Linked DNA regions of Danio rerio. The protein of the gene in region 2 interacts with the protein of the main gene of each other region in a biochemical or structural test. Links are inferred from orthologs where the notes say so. Each region holds a gene or a part of one and is shown on either strand. Other genes may lie near its edges.

The links.
Region 1: the proteins of tbp (region 2) and brf1b form a complex in vitro, tested with the Homo sapiens proteins (2 studies listed by BioGRID). The link is inferred for Danio rerio from reciprocal best matches to the Homo sapiens genes TBP and BRF1.

What each region holds. Positions count from the first base shown.
Region 1 is NC_133195.1:23,360,209-23,368,848, reverse strand, and holds the start of brf1b (transcription factor IIIB 90 kDa subunit), read right to left. Parts: upstream 4,655-8,640; 5' UTR 4,413-4,654; intron 3,460-4,412; coding exon of another isoform or gene 3,267-3,459; exon of another isoform or gene 3,255-3,266; intron 2,466-3,254; exon of another isoform or gene 2,397-2,465; intron 1-2,396. Other genes in the region: ckbb (creatine kinase, brain b), read left to right, coding at 3,267-3,459, 5,586-5,740, 5,838-5,970, 6,095-6,266, 6,548-6,671, 6,752-6,941, 7,020-7,198.
Region 2 is NC_133188.1:27,610,667-27,614,797, forward strand, and holds the start of tbp (TATA-box-binding protein), read right to left. Parts: upstream 2,801-4,131; 5' UTR 2,729-2,800; intron 2,288-2,728; 5' UTR 2,207-2,287; coding exon 2,153-2,206; intron 1,304-2,152; exon of another isoform or gene 1,219-1,303; intron 1-1,218. Other genes in the region: zgc:153169 (uncharacterized protein), read left to right, coding at 3,649-3,709, 4,014-4,131. UniProt on the Homo sapiens protein: The TFIID basal transcription factor complex plays a major role in the initiation of RNA polymerase II (Pol II)-dependent transcription.

The DNA.
Region 1 (8,640 bases), on a different chromosome or scaffold from region 2:
AAAATGTAGTGGTGAAAAGCAAAACGTTCTGCAGTGGACTCTCTTTGACATCAGCACTCTCAGCATTGGTCTCACCCTGTCAAAATGTGACTGCTGCACTACGATGCACTCCCTGAACCTGGGAGAAAAAAAAAACACTTCACAGGGTTGAGGGGGGGAAACACTGCCATCATGAATACTCATCAGACACAGCCTTGGGCTTCAGTCGAGACACATTCTCTCTTTTTCTGATTGCACATTTCTATCAAAGAATTTGTACAATATTTCAAAGAAAATATGGAAGTGAAAGCTCTTTCTTTGTTGCCCATTAGCTAATGCTAATATGAAGCATCGTGAAATGTGTACGAGATAATATGCTAATGCTAGGTTCAAATCAAGATGTCAATGATAATGTGCAGGTGATGCAAATGCTAAGTTCAAGTCCAGACATTATGAAATATGCACAATTTGTTATGCAAATGCTAAGCGCAAATCTAGATATCATGAAATGTTTACTATGCTAATGCTAAATTCAAAACAGGACATCGTGAAAAGTGTACACATTGTTATGCTAATGCTATGTTCAAATCTACACATCATGACGTGTACAGGTTATAATAATCCAGCATTTAAATCTAGATGTGGTTAAACGTGTGTCGTACTTCAGTGATGCCGGCAACAGAGAAAAACAGGGGTGGCCATACTGTACGTTCTAGGATGGTAAAGAGAAACAGGAAGTGTGAGTTTATAATTGCACAAATGACAGTATAATACAATGTGTAATTTCAGACAAAGCAGGAGGTAAAGGCAGCAGAAACAGCACTGAACTGCAGTAAAAGTCATGCACAGTGGCGATGGCATTATCTGCTCAGCATGGATGTCTCTCCATGAGCCCACGGTTAAGCTCCTCGCAGAGCTTACTGTACACAGGAGACTAAAGCGGTGTCTCCAGTAAAAACATAGCTTTAACTCTTAATAGCAACAAGCACAGAAGCAAGTATATCATTTCCTTGAAACCAGGTGGCCTCTTAAATCCAGGAAATTCACCAGGTTCTCATTAGCACTGAGGTAAAGTCTGTCTAAAACAGCAAAGCTTCAAAGTCTGGTAAGATATTTATGTAAGGCTGTTATAGAACATGTCAACATTTTAGTGTCTGTGTCACTGGTTTGGTTTAGACCATAAATACAGTACAAACTAGCATATTGTGAAATATTGTTAAAGAGTCTGTTGTAAAAGCTACATTTTTATTATCATTACTCCAGTCTTCGATGTCGCACGATCCTTCAGAAATCATTCTAATATTATGATCCGCAGATAAAAACGTGCATTTTTATTATTTTTGTAAACAGTTTTTTTGAAAATCATGACATATTTAATGACGGGTTACATCAATTAATGAATTCTTCTGATATTGGCAGGGGCGTAGCAATGAGGGGGGACGTCCCCCCTCACTTTTAGAGGCAGATCATTAAAAAAACAGGTGATTAATAATTATATGAATGCAAACTTTGATCAAATTTAGCTGTCCCCCTCCACTTTCAAAATGTCCGCTACGCCCCCTGAATATTGGGTATTAATTTTATTCAACAAAAACATTACTGACCCCATACTTTTGAATGCTACTGGATATTTGACAAGTCAGTGAATAGAGGATTAGATAGTAAATTAGATTAAGGATTGAGTTACATTGAAATATAAACTATTTAGGATTGGCGATTTTATTTAGAGACCAAAGCATTTTGTTACAGTACTTCATATTCATTTGTGTAGAGATAATATCAAACATATCATGTGACACTTGACAAGACAAAGCGCTTGTAGACAATTTCAGCTTCACATGGTCCAGAGGACAACAACATGAAACCAAAAATACAGGTTAAACACAATTCGTTTCCTTGTAAAAATGAAACCACACGCACACAACGCCAAACTGATGATTCATTACTGTGTAATGAAATGGAGAACTAAAAGAAGGCGGGCAGATACTGTACATGGAGTTTATAGGATAAATCCACCCTGAATTATGAGCAATGCTTCATTGTCAGACTTTGGGGCTCAGGTCATACATTAATAGATTCTTACTGAGTAAATCTGATTTGGGTCATCCCTTGATCAGTACAGGTTGAATTTGTTTATGATAAACACAACTGCCTCTTTTTAAAATGCTAAACACAACATCTATGATTATTAATAAATGAATGTGATCGAATTCCACAGTTTTTATTGTCAATCATGCCAAGGAGAGCCGTCAAGGAAAAACATCATGTGATCAATGTAAGCAAATACTGGATGTTGTGGATGTGATGCGACGCGCTGTCCAATAGAATGAATGGACTCAAATAGCGTCCAATCAGAGGAGAGCTCGGGCTTGATATAAAAACCCCACAAAGCGGCTTATTTCTGGACACCATTATCAGTCTTTGTGTGGTTTCTGGTGGACTTTAGGAAGGATTAATTCCGCTTTCCCAAAGAAAATCGGTATAAGGTATGGTTTTTGCTTGAAATTATTAAAACAAGCCTTTATTTTTTTATTTACGTTCATTAGATGTGATGTAACACATCTACCAGATCGATTTGTAAAAACAAACATTCACGGGCTGTGTATTAATAATTTAAGCGTAAGGAATGCATTTATATTCATGCCTAATTCGTGTTTAACTTCTGCTCGCAATTTGCAGTGCGCTTTGTTTCCGTATGCTGTTTATTAATCGTTTGGAGAGCCCAGTAATATAAATACATAAACATGTAAACCATTTAAATGATATTTATAATCCAACTTAACGTGGATCTGTGCATGGCCAGGTGCTTTTGTCCCAAACATCAGCAACGACCTTGCAGTCAGCCTCCTTTTTTCTGCAAGGTCTTTGGAGACGTGGCGCATTACGCATTCGCTTGCTTCAAATAATAATACATGATTTCACTGCAAACTCATCGTAATGCACAGACGACATTACATAAGATGCGAAATCTACATGCATGTGAACGCATTTATCATATGACGCGTCATTTAACGGACGCGCGCTCGACATTCCATCATATTTACTGCCCGCGTGACACAACGCGCCACCGAGCACAATTGCCGTTATACACGACGACTGTTTAAGTGCTCAAACCATTCAAGCGAGTTTAAACAAAATCCTCCGTTGTACAAAATGTGCTTTTAATGCTGTTACGTCATTATTAATGCAGCTGAGAGGGGCTGGCTTTGTCCTCGTGTTGGAATCGGATTTGTTTCGCTTCTGACATGCACTTATTTCCAATTCTCTGCCCTCAGGTAGACGCAATCATGCCTTTCGGTAACACTCACAATCTGCTGAAGATGAACTACTCCGCCGAGCAGGAGTATCCCGACCTCACCAAGCACAACAACCACATGGCGAAGGTGCTGACGCCCGAGATGTACGCAAACCTTAGGGACAAACAAACCCCCAGCGGATTTACCCTGGATGACGTCATTCAAACCGGAGTTGACAATCCAGGTAAAGGACCTGGACGCGATGTGCACACCCTTTCAAGTGTTTTAGACTTTGTGTCCGAATGAGTTGTGGCTTCTAGCTCGTTTGTTAGATTTGCTCGTCCATATGCCAACAACCTACAGTATATTTAGCAGAATGCACCTGAGGGAGGTGTTGTCTGCCTTATCTGTGGTAAAGTGATGACTCATCCCCTACTACCAACATTTCTCCAATCAAATACTTTCTACAATCAATGACCGTGTCCCTCTCTTCAATACAAGTGGCAGGTTTCCAACCCTGCAACTCAAGCAAACTCCTTCAGTGTATGAAGTCTGTTTAGTATACAAGTGGGATTTAATTATTGACAAAATTGAGCTTCTCAACAGAAGCTTGTAAAAACTAGCTATCTGGTACTTCTGAGTTTATTGATGATGAAATGGTTGTATACAACAGTAGTCCTTATTTATTTTGCCCTTTTGAAAGCAATCAAACAAAGGTTATGGTTCATTGTGTAATCACATTGACCGATAATCCGCTTAATTTGCTGGGTCTTTCAACAGTGGCCCTCTGGTGTAGCGGTCTATATTTTTTATTTCCCCCCCCCCATTAAGTTAAAGTTTTAGTTTCTCACATTTTAGTAGTCTAAGGTCATCTCGCATGACCTTGGATTTGATCCTTTTATAACTTTTTTTTTTTTTCTTTTTCTTTTTAATAGTTGGCTGCTCTTCCAAGTAGGCAGTGGCAAGTTTCATGTAGTAATTTTTTTACATCAGCACTTTTATAAGCAAAATGTATGTACAATCTTGAAGCTTGCACAATATTGGGTCTGTGCGATTGCCAAGTTGACACTTGGTTTGTGAAATTTTTAATTTTTTTTTTTTATACTGTGACATCTCATTTTGTGACAGGAAAATGCATCAAATACTAGTGGATCTAGTACAAGGCCTAAAAAAATACAAATTTTTTTTTTGACTTACCATGTTTGTTTTTCTTCTGTTAGGCATTGCTTTTTAATAGTAGTTTTCTATTCCAGTCTGTTTTATAGATGTCTAAATCTACCCAATAGATGGATGCCTAAATCTACAATGAAATGCTCCTAATTTAAAGTTGGTTTCCCCAAAAGGGGTTTCTATAATGTTATTTAGGGTGCAAGTCGGTCTATTAATGTATTACAGAAGTATATTAAAGGTCTGTAGACAGCCCTGCCTATCTCGTGTGTGTGACTGAGATATGCTTTATGGCATGCGTCACATTTTACTCATCACCTAAGTGGAGTTGGCCAACAGCTTACTAGAACATGTGACCATATGCAAGTCTCAATCCATTACACACTATGGCAGAACAAGCAAAGAATCCAATGAAGGGGTGATCGATGTGAGCCTGAATGCTAATCTATATCTGACAGTTGTACACCTGTACTTCATGTCTGAATGGATATTCGAATAAAATAACTTGAATGTTATTTACAGCCTTGAGCTAATGACAATGCCCTATGAACATTAGGATGTTTGTTTAACACTGGAAACCATGTCCCCCAACCAAGCAAAGGTGTTAAACCCAGTCAAGATTTCCACATTTTTCAGTTCTGTTGGCTTATGGTCAATCGGTGTATTGCGCTGCTCATCGGGAGGCTTTTTAAACAATCCCAGAAGATTGAAAATAAGGCCATCAGGATCACAGCAAACATTTCGCACAATCGACAGACTTCTTTAACTTGCTGGTATTTCCTAAATTAACCAACAATTATCCAAGTTGCACAAATTTATTATTTTTATTTATTTATTTTGTTTAATGTAATTAAAGTAACTGGAGCCTTTTTAAAATGTAATTTAATTACAAATACTAAATGTTTTGCAGTCTGATTGCATAATTTTAGTTAGTTTTTATACTTTGTGTATTTTACACATGCAAAAAAAGTGAACTTGATCAAAGGTGCTATGTTTACACGCAACAAAGGGAGAATTGTCTCGTCTCATGATTGCTGCAAGGCAAACCATGCGAGGATAAGCTTGATTTGGTTATATTAGGCTTTTGCCCCTGAAAAATCTGTTTGCCATCAGCGTATGAGAAATTTGAAAGAATTCTTTTGTTTTTCAATCGCTAAAGTTGGGGGTTTTGTCTGACTTGTGTTTTTTATTTTTGTCTTTCAGGACATCCTTTCATCATGACGGTGGGCTGCGTGGCCGGAGATGAGGAGACATACGATGTGTTTAAAGAGCTCCTGGACCCCGTCATTGAGGACCGCCATGGTGGATATAAACCCACAGACAAGCACAAGACTGATCTGAACCCAGACAACCTCAAGGTATGCTATTGAGTCTGTCCGTCTGCTGCATCTAATTGGGTTTAACGTTTCAAAATAGTCAGCGGTTAATTTAGCGGCATTGGTTTTCTTTTAATAGGGCGGAGATGACCTTGACCCCAACTACGTTCTGAGCTCCAGAGTACGAACCGGCAGGAGCATCCGCGGCTTCTGCCTCCCCCCTCATTGCAGCCGTGGGGAGAGACGCGGTATCGAGAGTCTGTCTGTCGAGGGTGAGCTCCTTTAGGCTTTTGTTTTCATGTCAAGTCGAGAGCAATGGTTTAGGAGTGGTTAGAAACCCATGTGATTTAAGTATCCGTTGATTTGGTGGTTGTGACTTATCCTTTGACTTCACAGCTTTGGGGGCTCTTGATGGTGATCTCAAAGGAAAGTACTACGCCCTCAAGGACATGACGGAGGAGGAGCAGCAGCAGCTGATTGATGACCACTTCCTGTTTGATAAGCCTGTGTCTCCACTGTTGCTGGCCTCTGGGATGGCCCGTGACTGGCCTGATGCCAGGGGGATCTGGTGAGTAAGCGCGTCTTTGTAGCTAGCTTTTTATTTATTTATTTTTATTATTATTATTATTATTATTATTATTATTATTATTATTTATTTTTTTATTTGTATATAGTTACAAGATGGATGCCTTTTGGCATATAAGTTTATATTATAGTTTTACAGAATTTATTTAAAATTATAATAAAAATAATCGTCATTGCCATTCGATTTTTATTTAAAGTGGTCATCTCATTGAATTCTAGTTGGTCTTCCTACATTATTTTTTATTTATTTTTAATGCTTCATAGGCACAATGACAATAAGACATTCCTAGTGTGGGTGAATGAGGAAGACCATCTACGTGTCATCTCCATGCAGAAAGGTGGCAACATGAGGGAAGTCTTCAATCGCTTCTGCACAGGCCTCACAAAGGTTTGTTTTTAAATAATCTGTCTTTTAAATCATTTCTATACACTGCATTTCTTAATTTACCCTCTTACTTGTGGTTGCAGATTGAGGAACTGTTTAAAGAGAAGGGCCATGAGTTTATGTGGAACGAGCACTTGGGCTACGTCTTAACCTGCCCCTCCAACCTGGGCACAGGGTTGCGTGGTGGCGTTCATGTCAAACTCCCTAACGTAAGCAAGCATGAGAAGTTTGGTGAGATTCTTAAGCGACTCCGGCTTCAAAAGCGTGGAACAGGTACTTTTTCCACTTTTAAACTGCTTTGTCTCCTATACACCAAATGGTCTCCAGTACTAACCTTGCTCTCTTCAACAGGTGGAGTTGACACTGCTGCAGTAGGTGGTGTGTTTGACATCTCCAACGCAGACCGTCTGGGCTTCTCTGAGGTTGAGCTGGTTCAGATGGTGGTGGATGGAGTTAAGCTGCTTGTAGAGATGGAGAAACGCCTGGAATCCGGCCAGTCCATCGATGACCTTATGCCTGAGCAGAAGTGAACACTTCGTGACTCCTAACTTAACTCCTTCCCTGCCTCCACCAGTCCTCCCTTCCTCCAGTACCAATAATCTTAACTACATCAAGGAACATACACTCCACCCAAACGGTAGTGGCACTAAAGTTAGACCAGTCTTCCATCAGTGTGAAGGATTTTGTATCTCAAACGTCCTGCAATGTTGAAGATGGAGCTTAACACCAGAAATAAAGTCTCTTTGGCCCATGGAGTTTCTTGTGTACATGTGTCAATGCTTGCTTAAAGATGTTTTTGTCTCCAGTTGGAACAATCCAATGCCAGGTCAGGAGTTTTAACTAATGTTTTTTGGGGATTTTTTTTCAAACGTTTGAATTTGTTTACAAAACGTAGGATAAATGTGCTAAAGGTAATTTTTGTATATGAGAGGTCACTAATTCGCTTTTGTATAGGAAGGAACCAACTGTTTTTGTACTATTGCAGGTAAGGCCCTTTTTGTTAAGCAATTGTCTACTGCCACATAGTGGCTATAATAGAAAATGCAACCAAATGAATGTTATTTATTTATTTTTTTTACATTGCTTAATCGTTATTAGAGCTTTATATTCTATTTTTTTGTCCTAAACTACTTAACGTACTGAAATCATATTTAAAGAATGCGTTGTGAAATTGTTAAACGTTGTCATTTACGAAGGAAATCGAATTCTTATCCCATATTACAACTTGTACTACAAGGTTAAGCCCACTTTAATATCAATAAACAGCGGCTATTTATTAAAAATTAACTTCTCCAGTGACGTTAAATCAGACGACTGATCGGCCTAACTCCCAGCGCCAAGCACATCGAGTGACTTCTTCCCCTGTCCCTTTTTAAAAATAAGGCATTTAGCGGTAAAATTCATAATGTTATTACTACAAAACAGTAACGCTGATATTTATATTTTTAAAAAACGTTTTGCCTAGCACGTTATATTTTAAGATATTTAACATTACCTACAGATTAAATCGATTTTTTTTTTGTATATAATGAGGAAATGGTTTATTTCTTTTTAAAATAAATGTTTGCTAAGATGAACATCATTTCATGCAACTTACCTTACGTTTGCTTCAGCATAAGCCTGACCGCGAAAATACAAACATGGCGTCACGCTGTTGCTCAAATGAAAGATTTTTTCTGCCCCGGAGTGTCTGTAAATACTTAATTAAATAGAAATGTGAACAGAAAACTTCGATATTTAAAGTTAAAATATATTGTCAAGACCACTATTTCCACCACTTTCCAACTAATGAAGTTACCTAGAAAATTAATGTTAATGAATCAGTTGATTGACCGAGCAAACATGCGCATTTGATCAAATTCTGCAAGAGAAGAGAATAAGTGTCTTAATAATGAACATCAATCTTTAACTCCGTTATGTAGGGGGGCAGAAATAAACCTTGATGTAACTATTTAATAATCAATCAACAAGA
Region 2 (4,131 bases):
GTCTACAAGCTGTATATGGCCTAATAAGCTCGCTGACATAGGCGGGGGCAGAATTGTGCAAAGCTTTATAAGTGAAAAGAAGAATTTTAAAAGCAACCCTGTATTTTATAGGTAGCCAGTGCAATGAGGCGAGGACAGGGGAGATATGATCTCTTTTCTTAGTTCCTGTTATTAATCTGGCGGCTGCATTTTGGACCAACTGTAGCCGAAAGAGTGTTGACTGAGGTAGGCCAATGTACAAAGAGTTGAAGTAGTCTAACCGAGAGGAGATTAAAGCATGGGTTACGATTTCTAAATCTTTTTTAGAAAGAAAGGGTTTAACTTTTGCCACCAATCTAAGCTGGAACAAACTGCTCTTCACAACCGCATTTACATGTTTGTCAAACTGCAAGAGTGGATCAAAGATAACTCTGAGATTCTTGACGTGATTGTGCAGATTGTCGTTTAGGGCTCCTAGCTAAGTTTTAATTGAATTGTTGGTAGCAGCAGGACCTAAAATTAACACTTCTGTTTTATTCTTGTTTAGTTGCAGAGAGTTATTTGTCATCCAGGTCTTAATGTCGGTAAGGCATAGGAAAATATTTTCTAATGATAAATCTTTTCCTAGTTTGATTGGAAAGTATAGTTGGAGATCATCAGCATAGCAGTGATAGCTTATGTTATGTTTGAGGAGTATTGAGCTTAAAGGAAGCATATAAAGAGAAAATAAAAGAGGGCCAAGAATAGATCCTTGTGGAACACCACAATGAATAGGTTTAGGTGGTGAAGTAAAGGATCCAATATTTACAGAAAAAGATCTCCCCTTTAGATATGAGGAGAACCACTGCAAGGCAAGGCCCTGAACCCCAACAACACACTCAAGTCGTTTCAATAATATGTTGTGATCTACGGTATAAAAAGCAGCGCTTAGGTCTAAAAGTATTAAAATCGCAGATGATCCAGAATCCATGAAGAGTAAAATGTCATTTGTGACTTTTAGTAGTGCAGACTCAGTGCTGTGTTTTGCTCTAAAACCAGATTGTAAAGGGTCTAGAATATTAAAAATGTCCAGGTTAATTGTGAAACTACAATTTTCTCTAAAACCTTTGAGAAAAATGAGAGCTTAGATATGGGCCTGTAGTGGGCAGGCACAGCGGGATCAAGATTAGGCCTCTTTAATAGAGGCTTTACAACAGCATGTTTAAAGACATCTGGAAAAACCCTGTTTATTAAGGAGCTGTTTATTAAAGCTAAGAGTGAGGGGCAGATTGTATCTAAAACCTCTTGAAAAAGACGGCAAGGCAGTACATCTGAAGGACAAAAGGTGAGTTTCATCTGAAAAATTTTATTAAGTAGCTGAGAAGAAGATACAGGCTGAAAATTTGTGAAACTGTTGGATGGAGGGACCGAATCAGAATGATCTATGTCGGTGGGAAAGAGGTGTGATTTAATATCTTGTAAAAAAGTCAGAGAACTTTATGCACGTCTCCAGATTGACAACAGGAACAGAGCACATAGTTGGATTAAGAACTGAATTAATAGTTTTAAGGACTATTTTTTAATAGTTTTAAGGACTTTTGGCTTACTTGCACTTTTAGTAATCAAATTTGAAAAATATTTAGATTTAGCCTCACTGACCGAGTCTTTATACGAAATTTATAATTTATGGAAAAAAACACCTCACTGGCAGATTATTTAGCTTGTTTTAGGGAAAATCACTTAATATTTCTACTAACAGTGAAAACAAAACAATTTTTTTACTTTACTAATTTTTTTTTATATTTGGACTGGAAACAAGACAGTGTAAGAAAAGCATTTTTTTCTACTGTGGTTATTCAGTTTCTGCACCTGAATACTGATAGACTCATTCATCTTGTGAAATGGTATTCGTATTGCTTTATTTAGCATAGAAAAACAAAGTATCGCAATATCCGACTTTTCCATTATAGTGCAACCCAACCAACTTTTACAAATCTCTACTGAAATGTAAAAAAAATGGCTACTGGAGTTTGTTCCTGTATCTTTTTATGTTTCCACAGAATTCTTCAGAATATCTTGTTTTCTGTTCACCCACAGCAAGACGTTTATAAATGTTTATAAGCACTTGAGTATAGGTAAATGAAGAAATGTCATTTTTGGGAAAATCCCGTTAACTAAACAATCCATTCCTCACCTGTGGAGATGCCAGACCTTGAGCGAAAGGAGGTAGGCTGTTGTTCTGCTCCATGCTGACGGGTTATGAAGCAAAACAACAGAGCAGTGGTTCAGGGCTTCCCTATAAAACTTCAGTGGCTCCAAAAGACGTAAACTAAAATGAACGAAAAAAAGATACAAATTAACAAATATTAAAAATCCGATTACACACAACAGTGCAGACACGATTATAAAAATCCCAAGTGCACCTAAATAAACAGACATGCACAAGAGAAAATTTAATGCAATATCTGAACGTTAAATTAAAAGAACACAGTAACGTTATTCTGGATTTATAAAGAAAGTATAATACGTAAATTGACCAACAGTACGAGGACCTACAGAAACACTAAATAATAGAATTCCCATTCAAGAGAACAGAGTTGACAATGTTAAAGAGGTGATAGTGAGCAGAACAGGAATGCAGCACAGCGTGTTTAGCGAGGCTAATTTTGGAGCTAACTTTAATATGTTCGTTAAAAACCCAAGCAGTTAACACTTGTAATACAGTTCTCCGTCTAGAAACAGTGTTAGATCAAAGGACAGCCAAACAAACCGATAATTCGCAGGATCCACCGGTTGGCTACGAGCTGAATAGTTCCAGAAGCGCAGGGAGCGCGCAAAACATGAGACTTCACAACAACTTCCGCCGTCTTTAATATGCGCTTCCGGTGCACTATTAGCTCGCATGTTCAAATCAAATTTGTGATATTTTACATATAATCCTGTATGCTTGTCAGTTATATGCTTCAATACAAAAAATATATATTTTATATACCATTTTGATGGATGTAAACAAGAACAATGATCCCGATGTATTTCCTGTTTTACATTTTTAATTTCTATAGTTTCAGAGAATGCAAAACTGGTGAATACATATTGCTAAATAAGGTTATGACAGCTGTTTTAATGTTAATTTATGATTGAATTGCCTAACATTACAGTTATGAAATAGTATGATAACAAGCAGGAAAATGTTCATACTTGGGCCAATGACATGACCACATTGAAATAGTCGTTTTATTGTGCAAAAAGGGTAAACGTTAAAAATGTACCTATTGTTTTCTTTATATTTTTTTTACAATAAATAAATCTAAAATCTTTAACGTATTATTGCAATATACATTATTGTGCATTAATTCAAATCACTGCATTATTGCTTAATTATGTATGAAATTGAATCAAAATACAAATTTTATTGAAAGTCAGGCCATGTCAAAAAGTCAGTTTATGTCACTTTAAAAATGACACATTGTGTACATTATGCATAGTATGGCCCTTTAAACTGTCTTTGTAACGCATAGACTTTTATTTTGAAATTGTGCTTTAATAACCCCCGGACGTAAAACTGTGTTTTAAAGTCTTACAAACGATGGAAACGAACTTTTCCTGTACATAAATAGATGTATTTCAATACATTTGTGTCAAATGGCAGCTGTGGGAACATGGTCTTTCTCTCGCCCTGCAGTGGACAGAATGAGAAGTTTGCTGCTAGCTGGACAAAACGCTACAGATGTTGTAGAAACTGCAATGGCAGGTAAATCTGACACCTGTTTGCGCTATCATCAGCCAACTGCATGGACTTTTATTATTTAAAGTCGGCTGGAACCTCTTGTGAACGATGGATTAAAATACTATTCTTATTACTGATTCAGTTGTTAGATAAATCTTTCTCCTTATCTATCTTATTTGCATAACGTTATTAAAAAATTTAGCAGACTTTATATAATATGTATTTTAATGATGCCATGTATAAGTAATAGGCAACTTAGTTTTTAACAACAACAACGAGTATTAGTGGTATAAACGCATAAGTGTTTTGTTTGCTTGTTTGCTTTTAGAAGTTGAAGATGACTTAGACACTGGACGACATATTGTTGGTGGCAGAGGAGGATTTCCAAATGCCACAGGAGTAGTTGAATGTGATGCTGCTATTATGGAAGGTTTGCCAGGGAGATT